Linked DNA regions of Oreochromis niloticus. The protein of the gene in region 1 purifies or fractionates together with the protein of each later gene. This does not show direct contact. Links are inferred from orthologs where the notes say so. Each region holds a gene or a part of one and is shown on either strand. Other genes may lie near its edges.

Evidence for each region. Proteins that work in one complex are often made in the same cells at the same time.
Region 2: the proteins of h2ax (region 1) and phf14 purify together in Homo sapiens (affinity purification with mass spectrometry; 3 studies listed by BioGRID and IntAct, counting the BioPlex papers as one, with this or other methods). This does not show direct contact. The link is inferred for Oreochromis niloticus from reciprocal best matches to the Homo sapiens genes H2AX and PHF14.

What each region holds. Positions count from the first base shown.
Region 1 is NC_031975.2:11,780,315-11,785,625, forward strand, and holds h2ax (histone H2AX), read right to left. Parts: upstream 1,164-5,311; 5' UTR 1,087-1,163; coding exon 658-1,086; 3' UTR 513-657; downstream 1-512. UniProt on the Homo sapiens protein: Variant histone H2A which replaces conventional H2A in a subset of nucleosomes. Nucleosomes wrap and compact DNA into chromatin, limiting DNA accessibility to the cellular machineries which require DNA as a template.
Region 2 is NC_031985.2:37,419,616-37,427,551, reverse strand, and holds the start of phf14 (PHD finger protein 14), read right to left. Parts: upstream 3,017-7,936; 5' UTR 2,910-3,016; intron 2,642-2,909; 5' UTR 2,548-2,641; coding exon 2,541-2,547; intron 1-2,540. UniProt on the Homo sapiens protein: Histone-binding protein. Binds preferentially to unmodified histone H3 but can also bind to a lesser extent to histone H3 trimethylated at 'Lys-9' (H3K9me3) as well as to histone H3 monomethylated at 'Lys-27' (H3K27ac) and trimethylated at 'Lys-27' (H3K27me3).

The sequences.
Region 1 (5,311 bases):
CGGTGCAGGAAACCCTTCAAAATGGATAGAAATTTAAAACTGCTCCGTGCACATGAACACTTTGAGAGCCGAAACTCAGATTAGGTTGAGTTATTTGTAGCATATTATGCTTTAGATGGCAATGTGCAATAGGCCTACATAGACCATTATTTCAGCCACAGATGCACACTGAAGAGCCATTTCTGCCAAACCAAAAGTAATTTAATCAGCTACCACAAAAGCTGCACAGTCATGCTACTAATAAGGTGAAATGCAACCGGTGTTGCAGGCTCTGGCCCATGTACCTGGGTTAAATGTTGATAAGTGGAGGCCATTTTTGTTTTTGTTTTTTAACCCCGATCATGAAACAAAGCCCTGGTAAATGGCTAGTGTTGTACTACGACTCTCGAGCTCACGGTATAATCGGTTAGAGTACACCAGTCTGATAAATTCAGCTCAACCGGTCAGGCTAGCAAGTCTCAACAAAACTAGCAAGTAGCATCAATTAGCCTTAAATCAGCAGAATACAACAGTTCTTACAAAACAGGCTTTTTATTAAATAAAAATCATGCGAAAAGGGGATGTAAGACAGCAATAATCAGGAAAAGTTGCTCTTTCAATTAGGAGTGAGTGGCCCTTAAAAGGACCGTTGGGTGTTAAGAGTTATTAGCTAGCAAGCTAATACTCCTGTGACTGAGAGGAGGCCTTCTTTCCCGCTTTGCCGGAGCTCGGTGCAGACTGGCCGGTCTTCTTGGGCAGCAGGACGGCCTGGATGTTGGGCAGGACGCCTCCCTGTGCGATGGTCACGCCACCGAGGAGTTTGTTCAGCTCCTCGTCGTTGCGTACAGCCAGCTGAAGATGGCGAGGGATGATACGAGTCTTCTTGTTGTCTCTGGCGGCATTGCCGGCCAACTCCAGGATCTCAGCGGTGAGGTACTCCAGGACGGCGGCCAGGTAAACTGGGGCCCCGGCGCCAACTCTCTCTGCGTAGTTTCCCTTGCGGAGAAGACGGTGGACACGGCCGACGGGGAACTGCAGACCGGCGCGAGAGCTGCGGGTCTTAGCCTTGGCACGGGCCTTTGCTCCAGTTTTACCTCTTCCAGACATTGTTGGTTACTCAAATAGTTCTTCTGAATCGAAGCACTGCAGTCGCTGGTTTGCTAGTGATGAAAAAATCGCTTCACAGCCTACATATAAACCTCATGCTTTGTCCCGCCCTAACCTGCCATTGGGTTTTGGAACAAAAGTACTATTGTCTGATTGGCCCTGAGAGGAACATCGTGAGAGGAAATTAATGACTATTGGTGGATCTCTCCTGGTTTGTGAACAATCACGATGGAGCCTAAAAGGAAGAAGCACGATCGATTGGCTGTTACTGTTACTGCTTTCTGTCAGTGGGTCAAAAGTAAAAAAGGAGGAGCCAGAAAGCCAATCGACTAGCTTCCCTCCAACTTTAAATTTTTTGGCGCGCAGACCAACTCTGCGGTAAAAGTTAAATGGAACATTTAACCCCCCTTATGTATGTGTATTGGAAGCCAAGCTTCGTACACGCTGACCAGTGCAAAAACCTGGACGAAATGTTGACAGCGTGGCAAATAACATCGAGGATCTGTGTGCCAAAATGATTAAACTTTACACTAAAATATAAAGCTGTTTATAACTAATAATTTAACTGAAGTTTTAAAAAAAAAGGAAAGAAATCCAACATTATTGTGTACAAACAGGAAATGTTTTTAGATTTACTCATTGGTCAAATGTGCCCACCCGTCCATAGATGTAATGGGCATACATACACATTTATTTCGACTAGTGTGTCTACATAAGTGAGTTTCATGTAGACCTTTTTGTATTCCAATTGTAATACCTTTTCAGAATTCCTTAAATATTTCTCCTAACAAGTATCTTATTAATAAATAAATACATCTAATACTAAACAAAAGCCAAATATTTTTAACAATAAAAACTAAAGTGAAAACCAAACTGCTTCAAAAAGAAGCTACCCTTGAAAGAAAAAAAATGCTGTAAAGGTGCTCTCATCTCATGACCATCAGTATGGAGAGGCCTGCAAGACTGTGGAAAACTACAGGACACCATCCCCCACTGCATCCAAACAAAGACCTATTGACCTGAATGCCTTCTACTGCAGGTCTGAAAGGAATTCCTTTGTGCTCTTCTCAAACTTAACAACAGCAGTCCCCATCTTTATCATCCTCAGATATTTAAACTAAGAACAAGTTTAATGGCCATACAGTATGTGAGTGCCTTACTCTGTACTATGTGTCCCGTGTATAATTTGGTTTATATGCCATGAATGTATCTGGTCTGTCCTTTTTTAGCTAATCACAGCCGGAACCACATTTCTTTTGTGCACATTTTCAAGTAAATTTGATTTTGATGAAAACATAACTGAGAGCCAGCAAGCAGCATTAGCAGACTAAACAATTACTTAGTGCCCCCAAGCTAGCAGACAACCCCCACCAAGACCGCATGAAATGCCACACAAGACAGGTTAATCGATGTATTTTTGTGTGTGAAATATCAATAGTAATTGTACAAGTGAAAGTTACATATTGTTACTATTTTATTAGCAGACTGGTGCCTTAATGCCACTGGTTTAATCATTTTCACTGTTGGAGCTGGGATCATGTTCAAAACACTGTGTTTCAAAGTAGGTCAAAGTGCCACAAAAACATACTAGGTATTTATCATTAACATTCACTTACAATGACATCTTTCAGTTCACTGAAAGTGTAGCGTAGCTGTGCAGACACCACAGGCATTATTTTTGGTAACCTGCTGTTAGAAACTGACTAGGAGGATAAGTATCATGAGGGTTATGTTCAATTCTTTCTGGCTTTGTGTAGTCCCAGTGCCCTAATGGATAAGGCACTGGCCTCCTAAGCCAGGGATTGTGGGTTTGAGTCTCATCTGGGGTGTGTATGAACAGAGTGGAGCTGTGGATTGAAACCATCCCCTGCTATGTCTTTTAGAGAACTGGATCCTTTGAAATGTCATCCAAGAACAGGCTACTCCCCAAAGACGCAGAGAAGCAACCCTCTTGCCCGCCAAAAAAGACCCCAATGGATACAAGGACAAGCACCCCTGCCGACTGGTTCAATCCCTGGCTGCTCCAGTCTTCTTGTCAAATATCCTTGGGTAAGATACTAACTCCAAGTTGTTCTCCGATGTATTCATATGTGTCTAAATGTTAGATAGAAAGCACTTAAGCATAGGAAAAAAGTAAATGGGTGAATGATGCAGGTTTAATTAAGAGCTTTGTTTGCAAAAACAGTTTTGTTTTTCTAAAAATCCACTGATTGCTGGTTTATTTGAGTTCTTTCCAGCAATCTAGTTAGCCATGACAGTGGTTTTGGTAGATGTATAATTTAAAAGCATTAGTTCAAGCACAGACAATATTTAGTTAACATTGGCGGTGCTGAGATGAGATATTGGTGATGGGTTTAGTTGGAGGTTATGGCCTCAAAATCAAATTCTGCTCAAGTTGTCCTAAAATCTTGGGCCCATTCTGGTGTTGCTAGTCAGCGAAGACAATGAAATGCAGGGAAGAGCCACAAAGAAGCAAACTTATTAGCACATGTAAGTTAACTGCAGGTACAGGAAGTTACGTTCTTTTAATGTTACACTGTAGCCCATGCGCCTTTACAGACATGCAAGTGCATCATAAAAAGGAACCTCTTATGGTTTATTGAAAATACAATGAACGGACTCAGGTACAAAGATGATGCTTAAAAAATAATTTATTTGCAATAAATTAAATATTTAAAATATAACAGAAGTCATCGATTTTGCAGCCACTTTTCGTTTCACAATACAGCCACAAATCTTTATTCATAACGTTTGCTTTATGTGCCTTTAGATGAATTGTTTTGTAAAGCCCATGCCCCTCGACAACAGAGCCTCCACCTCCACCCCTTTCAAAATCCTTTTATTAAAAAAAGAATTATAATTAAAAAAACCAACCATTTATTAAGTTTGTTTTTTCTGAAGTCTCATAGTTAATGCAGATTATTTTCATGTTTTCAGACAAGGCTCAATTGGCCCTAAAACATATGTACAACTTCACATACTGGATCTATTTGCCTTCAAAGTATGCAAACGCTTTCTTAAAACCTGTGGCTGCTAGTAGATTTCATTAAAACCCTGAGTACCGTATTTCAACTCTACCCCACACCGAGTCCTCTTGCTTTGCCTGAGCACAGCATTAGTGAACACTGAGACACACCAATCTCCTTTTTTTAAATATAAACTGCAGAAATAGTTTAGTGTGGCTTACATATATCTAAAAAATATTACATTATAATAACAATCCCAAATGTTCACACAGGAAATGCTTTACTATATTAGTTCATTATTAGGAACTAATCACATGTCAGCATTCTCTGCAAACGATTTCACCCGCAACCCTTTTGAGGCATTTAACACAACATGTCCTGCACAGTAATGATCGCTATTACAACAATGAAGTCTGTAGAAGCACGAGAAGAGGAGAGCACGCCTGATCGCGTTGCTGTTTTCCCCCCGACAGAAGACTGTGAGGCTTTCAAAAGTTTAAAAATCACCTTCTGGCTTGATAAATAAGGTGGCTGGTTAGATTTTCAAAAGTAAAGTGAAGATATGATACTCCAGAGAAAGCACCTTTGTAAAAATAAAAGTACAATATGATCTTTTCGGGTTTTTATATAAGATACAACATTTAACATTATTCTAAAGCCAATGTCGAAGCAATCATGAATGGACATTATAGCTAGATCAAGACAACTTACTTAAACTATGTGTTGAAAATTACATTTGTATAGAAAACACACCTTAATGTCTCTATATTATAGTGTAACGCAGCTATGATGACTAGTTGTAGGGGTTCAAATAAATAGCACTTGTTTAGTGAGTCCAACATATTAATAAATTACACTTTAACAACCAGCACATTTTTTACATGTGCTGTTAAAAAAAATAAAAAGTCAAAAGTGCAACCAAGAGCATAGTGGCATTTTACATCATTAAAATGTTTTGGAGCGTTTTCACCACCAGTGCCAGTCCAACAAGCCCAGAAGCATGGAACATTTCTTTGTAGCTATTCCCCTCTCCTCCACCGAGCAGCAGATTTCTCCTCAAATTTAACAACAATTCAGAGTCAGCGATGTGATTAAATGAGACTTCTGTCCTGAAAGTGCAATCATTTCTATCCAGAGGGGAGCTCTCCCAGAGGTATCCTCCTTTAAAGCTGTGCAGTTGACAACCCACCTGGGGGCGCTCAGCCTGTCAAAGACCGTGTTGAAGTGTAGTGATAACAGAGAACGCTCTCAGGATGACT
Region 2 (7,936 bases), on another chromosome or scaffold:
ATTGTTTTTACTTTATTGCCTAATGATCATTACAAAGCATAAAAGTGATAATATTTTATTTGATAGTATTTCAAATAAAATTGGGCTACGAAAAGGAGATGCTGGCAGGTCGTTATGTGCCCATATGTAAAGTGCAGCGTTCTGTACTGCTGACCATAATGTTTTATTACTGCGATTACAGCATGCTGTAGGTATTAAAGGTATGCTGAAGTGGTTTGAAACATGGAGAGTCCTCTTCACACACTAAGATTAATTATGGAGTTCCATAAGGTTCTGTGCTAGCACTAGGGCTGCTCGATTATGGCAAAAATGATAATCACGATTATTTTCACTGAAATTGAGATCTCGATTATTTGACGATATTTATTTAACAATAACAATGTATTGAATAATGACTTTAAAGATGTCAAAAAATAATATAAAATAGTGTGCAAATAATGATTACAGTGGAAATGTTTGCAATATAAAAAATAAATGAAAAATGTAAACATCTATGTTTAGTGAACTTCAAAATACTGCACAATATTTGATCCACGTCTGACTCCGCGAACACATAATGTTTCCACACCACTGAAGTCGTTTTATCTCTCTTTTCAACCAGCGGCATTCTTTCTTCAGCAGCCATTATCCTCTCCTCTACAAATAACTTCTGCTTAGCTTTCCGAGCTTTCCGAGCAACCCTCGGGTCCTCTTAATTGTTGTGACGCGTGTTCGAAACGCAGAGAGGTGCGCTCGATTTGCTACACGGAGCAGAGCGAGAGTAAAGCACGAGGGAGGTGCTAATAATCGGCTTAGTCATTTTTAATGATCGTTGAAAGCCCAGATCGTAATCTAGATTAAAATTCGATTAATTGAGCAGCCCTAGCTAGCACCAATTATTTTTACATTATACATCCTTTCCTTAGGCTGTATCATTAGAAGGCACAGAATACATTGTTGTTGCTATACAGGTGATGCTCAACTTTATCTATCCAAAACAGATAACACACACTATTTAGTTAAACTGCAGGAATGTCTCAAAGGTGGGTAGATGACCTCTAATTTTCTGCTTCTAAATTTAGATTAAAAATTAGGTTATTGTGCTCGGCCATAAAAAAGTCTTACAAATATGGAATCTAGCCTCTGGATGCCACTACCTTGACCTCCAGTAGCACTGTGAGGAGTCTTTGAGTTGTTTTTGACCAGGATATGGCCTTCAGTGCACATATTAAACAAATATGTAGGACTGTTTTCTTCTGCACAATCTCTCTAAAATTAGAAACGCCCTCTCTCAGAGTGATGCTGGAAAACTAGTTCATACATTTCTTGCTTCCAAGCTGGACTATTATTTTAAAAAAATGCCTAAAAACTCACTGAAAAGCCTTCAGTTGATCCAAAATGCTGCAGCAAGAGTACTGACGGGCACTTGAAAGAGAGAGCGCATATTTCTCTATATCGGCTTATCTTTACTGGCTGCCTGTCTGTGACTGTCTGACAATCCAGGTTCAAATTTAACGTTCTTCTCATCACATACAAGGTCTTGAATAATCAGGCCCCATCTTATCTTAAAGACCCCACAGTACTGCATCACCCTAATAGAGCACTTCGCTGGAACACAACGTAGAGTATGACAATGGAACACTGTGAACTATGGGTTATTCCCTGAATTGAGGGGAAAAAAAGAGGAAAAAAAAAATGGGGTAGACTTAAGTGTCCATAAAGGGCTGAAAAATGTCAATGAGAGAGCCACTGACAATTTGTCAGTAAGACAGTTCCAGGCTGTGAAGGCCTATACTGTTTTCTGCAACCAAGTCTATGCTTTTCATACAGAATCTTTTTCTTGCCCCTCACATTCCTGGTGAACTCCAGAACAGGAGAAGCAGTTTAATCCCACTTGCCAATCAATCAGGCCTACAGGCCTACATGCTGCTGAGTTTTGGAGAACTCCACGAAACTATGTTTGAAAGGATAGGATAGGTGTTTTATGGTTGAAAACTCCTAGCCATAGGAAAAAACATATACCTATAAAATACCAAAGGTACTGCAGTGCCATAGGTAGGTTGTGTACGACAATACAAAGTTGCCTCAATTTTATAATGATGGTCTAGTTCACCTGTGCGGACTGCACCTCATATTGACAGCGAGTTAAACTTAAAGACATTTAAAGCAAACTCAATTTGTGCTTTATGCAAGTCAATCTATGCTGCTGCAAAAAAATATTCAGCACCCAAACGTCCAATTACTTGTGAGCCCTTAACGTTCGGGTATCCTGTATCAAAAGGGTAGTTATCTCCCAAACGCGTCTTTAAATAGTGACGTAAACCTATGTATTATTTTCCCTTCAACACCACACGAAACACGACGTTAATCAGCTGCAGACACTAGGTTTTCTGATGTTGGGATTTGTACAGCTCTTAGCTACGCAACTTGCCTATTAGCACGCTGTTAGCAAACAAATAGCACCGCTGCGGTTTTGTTTTCACGAACGATACATGTTTGTTTTTCTTTTTAAATGAAGAATCTACGATAGTCGTCTAAAACAGCCTAAGAGGTACACTTACCAGACATTTTGGTCCGTCAAGCACCATAGCTAATCGTGCTGAGCATGTTAGCTGTATTTAAATTATGACGTTCTGATTGAATCCCTGATGCTCGTGATGCTCTTAGTATACATATAGGGACACAATTAAAAGCATCGAAAAGTAAGATCCAAGTAAATGTATTAACATCAGACCAAGTTAATGCAAAACTGCACGTGAAACACAACAGCATTAGCATTTAGCATACCAGCAACATCACTACTAGTCACAAAGTACAGCCGGGCTAGCTAACTAGCAACAGTTCGAGGGAACAAATAATTGTTAATTGTGCCAGACGGCAAATACAATTTGACTTTATATACATATAAATGACGACGTGGAAGGACTCACTCTGTACTTCACGTTCACTACGACAGGTCTATTAGAAGCATGGTATATGGACAATGGAGAACACCGTGGTGACGTACCGACGGTTGCATATTGTTGCTATGAGGACAGTTACGTAGTACAATATGACAGTCACGTGAGAGCTAGTGAATCAAAATAATAATATCTGAGTTTATAAACTTTATTTTCTTAATGATAACATTAATTGTGTATAGAGTGCATGTAGGCCTACTATAAAACCAATGCTAAGTTTGGAACCGTAGAAAATATTAATACAGCCCCCACTTACTGTATACAAGTTTTTATCATAAACTATCCAATTTAGGGGATTTCTATCTATTTATGTATTGTTAAAGAATAATTACTAATTTTTCATTTAGTCTTCCAATAGAATAACATAACTTTTTTTTCCCCAAAAGTTGGAAAATCCCTGTTACAACAGCTAAAACCAATCAATAGCTTGAAATTTGTATGTAGCACAACAAAATTTCCATAAGGTAAAAACTTCATAACACAAAAGAACTCAGTTAAATAGAGAGAAAATAAAGGTTAGTGTGTAAAAAGCTAACTATAAAAAAAAATAAATGAGATAAAATGTTTATGCACATCAGAGATGGTTATGGAGAACTTTTCTAAAAATGTACCTATTTGAGCTGGAATTGATGTCAACTACACTGAACATTCTTGGGGATGGTAAAAGTTTAAAATTCCATTTTAAAATCTATTTATGAACATTCTCACATTATGGTGGAATAACAATACTTTTCAGGTTTGAACAATCAGGTTGGGTGCACTGTATCAATATGAAAAAGGTGGACAAATAAATTATCCACATATATTTTTCAAAGATTCAAAATTACACTTAAATTGTTAAGCATTTTTAATTTAAAGTTATAGGATTCAAAATGTATTGTTAATTAATTGTTTTTTAATTGTATCATTGCTCATGTCAGATGTTTGGAATTTTTTTTTTTTGCTTATTTTTGATAAAAAATAATTTAACAGAGAATCTAATGCTGACAATTAACTTACTTAATTTAAAACAGATGGGGGGGGGGATGAAAAATTATGTTTTCTAATGAAAAATTGTGAACGATGCTGCAAAAGAATGTAGTTGTATAAATGTATACTTTGACTCATTTTCAAAATCAACTTTGTTTCTGTTGTCCTCTTTTGACTTTGTCAGTTTCGCAAATAAGAGATGATTAAAATAAATGAACCTAGATTGATCCTGATGCATGTAAAGGGGAAGACGGATGGGACAGGAAAGCAAAAGGGATGATTACAGCTGTCCTTTCTTGATGAAAAATGGCCCTGAATTATGCTAGAAAGAGGCCGTTTTTATCAGCTTGTATCAAAATACTGAGGATATCACAGTAGTGATCACTGTCATCATCACTATCAGCATTTTCATCCTTTTCTCTCCTGCTCTGCTTTGATGAACATGGAGCCTGTTTGCAGCTGATAGTGTTGAAGGGAATGTGTTGAGTACTTTGTCTGACATTGAAATCAGTGGGATAATGATCGTCAGGCCAGGTAGAAGTATAACAGCCACTTCATTGCACCTGTTTTTCAAGCAGAAAAAAAGGGTTTATGCCTATAGTCCTTATGTACTAGTATAGTAAAATCCTCAAAACACTCCCCAAACACAAAAGGAAATCAGAAAAAAAGTTTTCAGAAGTTGAGACCAAGAGAAAGTGAGGTGAGGATGGTCTCTCTCCAGCGCATCACATATGGAAGTTTAGGCATTTAAATGCACTGTGTTTAACTTTTGTGTCATTTTTCAAAATGCAATCCAACATGACATTGTCATATGCACTGGATTCCTCAGTTGGAGCCTTAAACAGGCTGCCTTCTGCTAAATGGGTCAAACTGGGCAGAAACTATACAAACACATAACATCCTTATAGAATATGATGTAACACTATAGATCAACTTACCTCAGAATATATAAAGCATATAAACAATTACAGCAATATGATGCAACAAACACAGCAGTGCTACTAATCCAAAATACTCAAAGCTTCATAGAACTGAAACAAACATTTATTTTTAGCTCCATTCTGCTGCTGATACATACTTCAGGTTTCTGAATATTAAACTTGTTGCTGCCTTTCATAGTGTGTAACTTGAAGGCCCTGAGTACTTTCTCCCACACTGAAAACACTGGAATGATAAAATTATTTGAACATTACCTAATAAGACTGATTCAGGACAGACAATTAGTTATTTTAAACTTTTCTAGCAGTCCTTCACAAACAGGGAACAGTCTGTCTATTCTCTCCATCTGTCAGCTGCTGCTGGCTCTTCCTCCTCCTCTTCCTTACACACTGCTGAGTTTGTCATGGTGGATCATCAGGGGTGCAAAGCCTCACAGATGATGTGCAGCAGTGGGTCCCTCAGTCTGTCCTCACTCTGGACACTTGCAGTCGTCACACATGGAAGTCAAATTTGTGATGAGCTGCAGGATTCAAACACAAGTGTAACTTATAAATACATGTTCATACTTTTATTCCACAATCAGAGAGAAAGAAAAAGAGAGAGAGTGCAGGACAGACAGACAGGTGACAGTCTCAGGTGTACACACTGCTACAAAACAGCACAAGAGGAGGAGGATTTAGTGTTTGTGTTATTACGAGTGCTAAACAAGAAGAGCTCCCAGATGCTACAGTGGACACATGTGTGACTGCTGTGATTAAAGCATCTTTCTTTCAGCTTAACGAGTGAACCGTCAGCTCGTTCAAACACACGTTAAAGTCCGTTTGGCTCGACACCACCGAACAGAGGCAGCAATATAACATAGCTAACATTAACAGTGCAGTGAATCCTGCTTGTGCCGTCATATTCAGGACTGCAAACCGAGCAGCATCACTGACTTTCAGCTTGTTGTGTTTGTGGATATATGACTGACTTTAATTATCCATGAAATTATCACATTCTCTGTAAGATTAAGGTCAACTATATATGTATGTATATATATATTGAAGTAGAGGCTTTAAAACCAAGTTAACACTGAAAGTACTAACATCGCTAATGTCACATAACTTTGCCGACATGTGGCCAACAGTAATGTTTTAATGTTCTTCATTATTAAACATTCGCACATAAATGACATCATATTCAGTACTTACTTTTGACAGTTCACTCTTCGGCAGCTCCCTTCTGCCGTCTGCTGTATTTTGCGGCAAAATTATCCACACCCACCACCGCGCTATGAATTGTGGGATATATGGGACCACGAAGCGTGCACCACGCTTGATATTTGGGGAAATCGACGGTGCATTTGGAGTATGCATTTGAAGTACACTTTGGGCGTTTCTCAATATGCGTACTTGTGCGTACTTGCGTTCTCGTGTACTCGTGATACGTCATCAGTCGGAGACCAAGTACTGTTCCAATTCGAAGCACGCATCAAGCTGAGAACGCGAAAAAGTCCCGGATGTGTTCTCGATCCGCCCATTTTATCGAGCATGCATCGGTGTGGACTTGGTACAGCTAAATATCCCAGAATGCATTTCGTCCAAAACTCAACAGCGGACTGCCGGCACATCGTTTTCAACCCCCCCCCCCCCCCCCCCCCCCCCCCCGCTCGCGGTCTTCTCACTACTCAGGTTAAAGAAACCCCAGCAGCTGTCTATAGTATTGAGTGTCCACTAAAATAGAAATAAAAGCGTTCTAACATCTCACCTGCTTGTTTTTATTAAGGTATGTACACGTATGTACATGTACACTATTTTTATTAATAGAGGTTTCACTACTGAGGTTAAAAATGATATATAAGTCACTTAGATCACTTCTAAATGTTAATGTTTGGTTTATTTCAGTGTTTTATTTGTTCCTGAGTAAACCGGTTTGGCTGTGATTACAGTTAAGCTTCATAACATGTTACTCACAGTTAAATTAAGAGGGGACGGCAGTAAAAACTCCGGACCTGTGACATCATCACGTACGCAGGTGTTCCAATTGTACATATCGCGAGTCCGTGCTCGCGTTCTCGGCGGGTACGTACTCCCGTGCATTCTTGGCGAGTATGTACTCACCGAGAACGCGAGTACGTACTCGCGTACTTGAGAATTGAGAAACGGCCTTTGTATTGGGACAGCCGTCGTCGCGTGGCGGTGACGTAATCGCACTCAAAATGCGTACTTCAAGCGTGCGGTCTCTTAATTGGGACACAGCCTGAATTTTTCTACCGTTTCCCTGTGTTCCTTGTTATCCGCCTCTGGGTGGAGTCCTCATTATTCCACCTGCTCAGCTCACCTGATGGAGATCTGAGGCAATCAGGAAGGCAGTACTTAAGACCAGAGTCAGCATCTCTTTGCTGCCAGTTTGTGTCAGTAACAGTCTGCAGTGCTGCATGCTTGGTGTTTCTGTGTTGTACTTGGTGCCTTGTTTTCCACTAACTCATCTTGCAGGACGCTCACTTGGCCATTACCCCTCCCTCCAGAGTCATACCTGCCAAGTAAGACGCAAACCCAATCATTTTCATGTTACCAGTCTTTGCCTCCCCTGTTCCCTTTCTAACCACAGTCTCCCTCTGTCCACAGTTTCACCATGTCAGACTCCCTGTTAAGCATTCCTCCCATTGTTTACATGTGTGCTTAGGAATAAAGCTTGTGAGGAAAACCTTAATGCTGTTTCCAGTCTTTGAATCTGTGTTGGGTCCGTGTCCACGTACTAGCCTGCGGGGCCCCATGACATCTGATAAATTCACTCAGCCAACAATACACACAGAAAAATTAATGTAATAGTTTAGAAACCACAGTTATCTCATTAGACACAGAGAACTGCATTCCAACGCAATTTGTGCTTCATTCAGTGGTTGTAGTTCAATAAGGCAAGGTCACTTGGAAGAGCTGAACATGATTTATTGTGATAGGGAAATTAATGTATTTGGCTATTAGACTCTGCTGACCCAGCATAGTAGTGTTTAGACCCCCTCAGAGTCTAAACACTGGTGGTGGCGAAGATGAAGGCTGAGACTTGAATGCTCTATTCTGGCTGAGGTGTCTGAGGTGGAGATGGAGAAG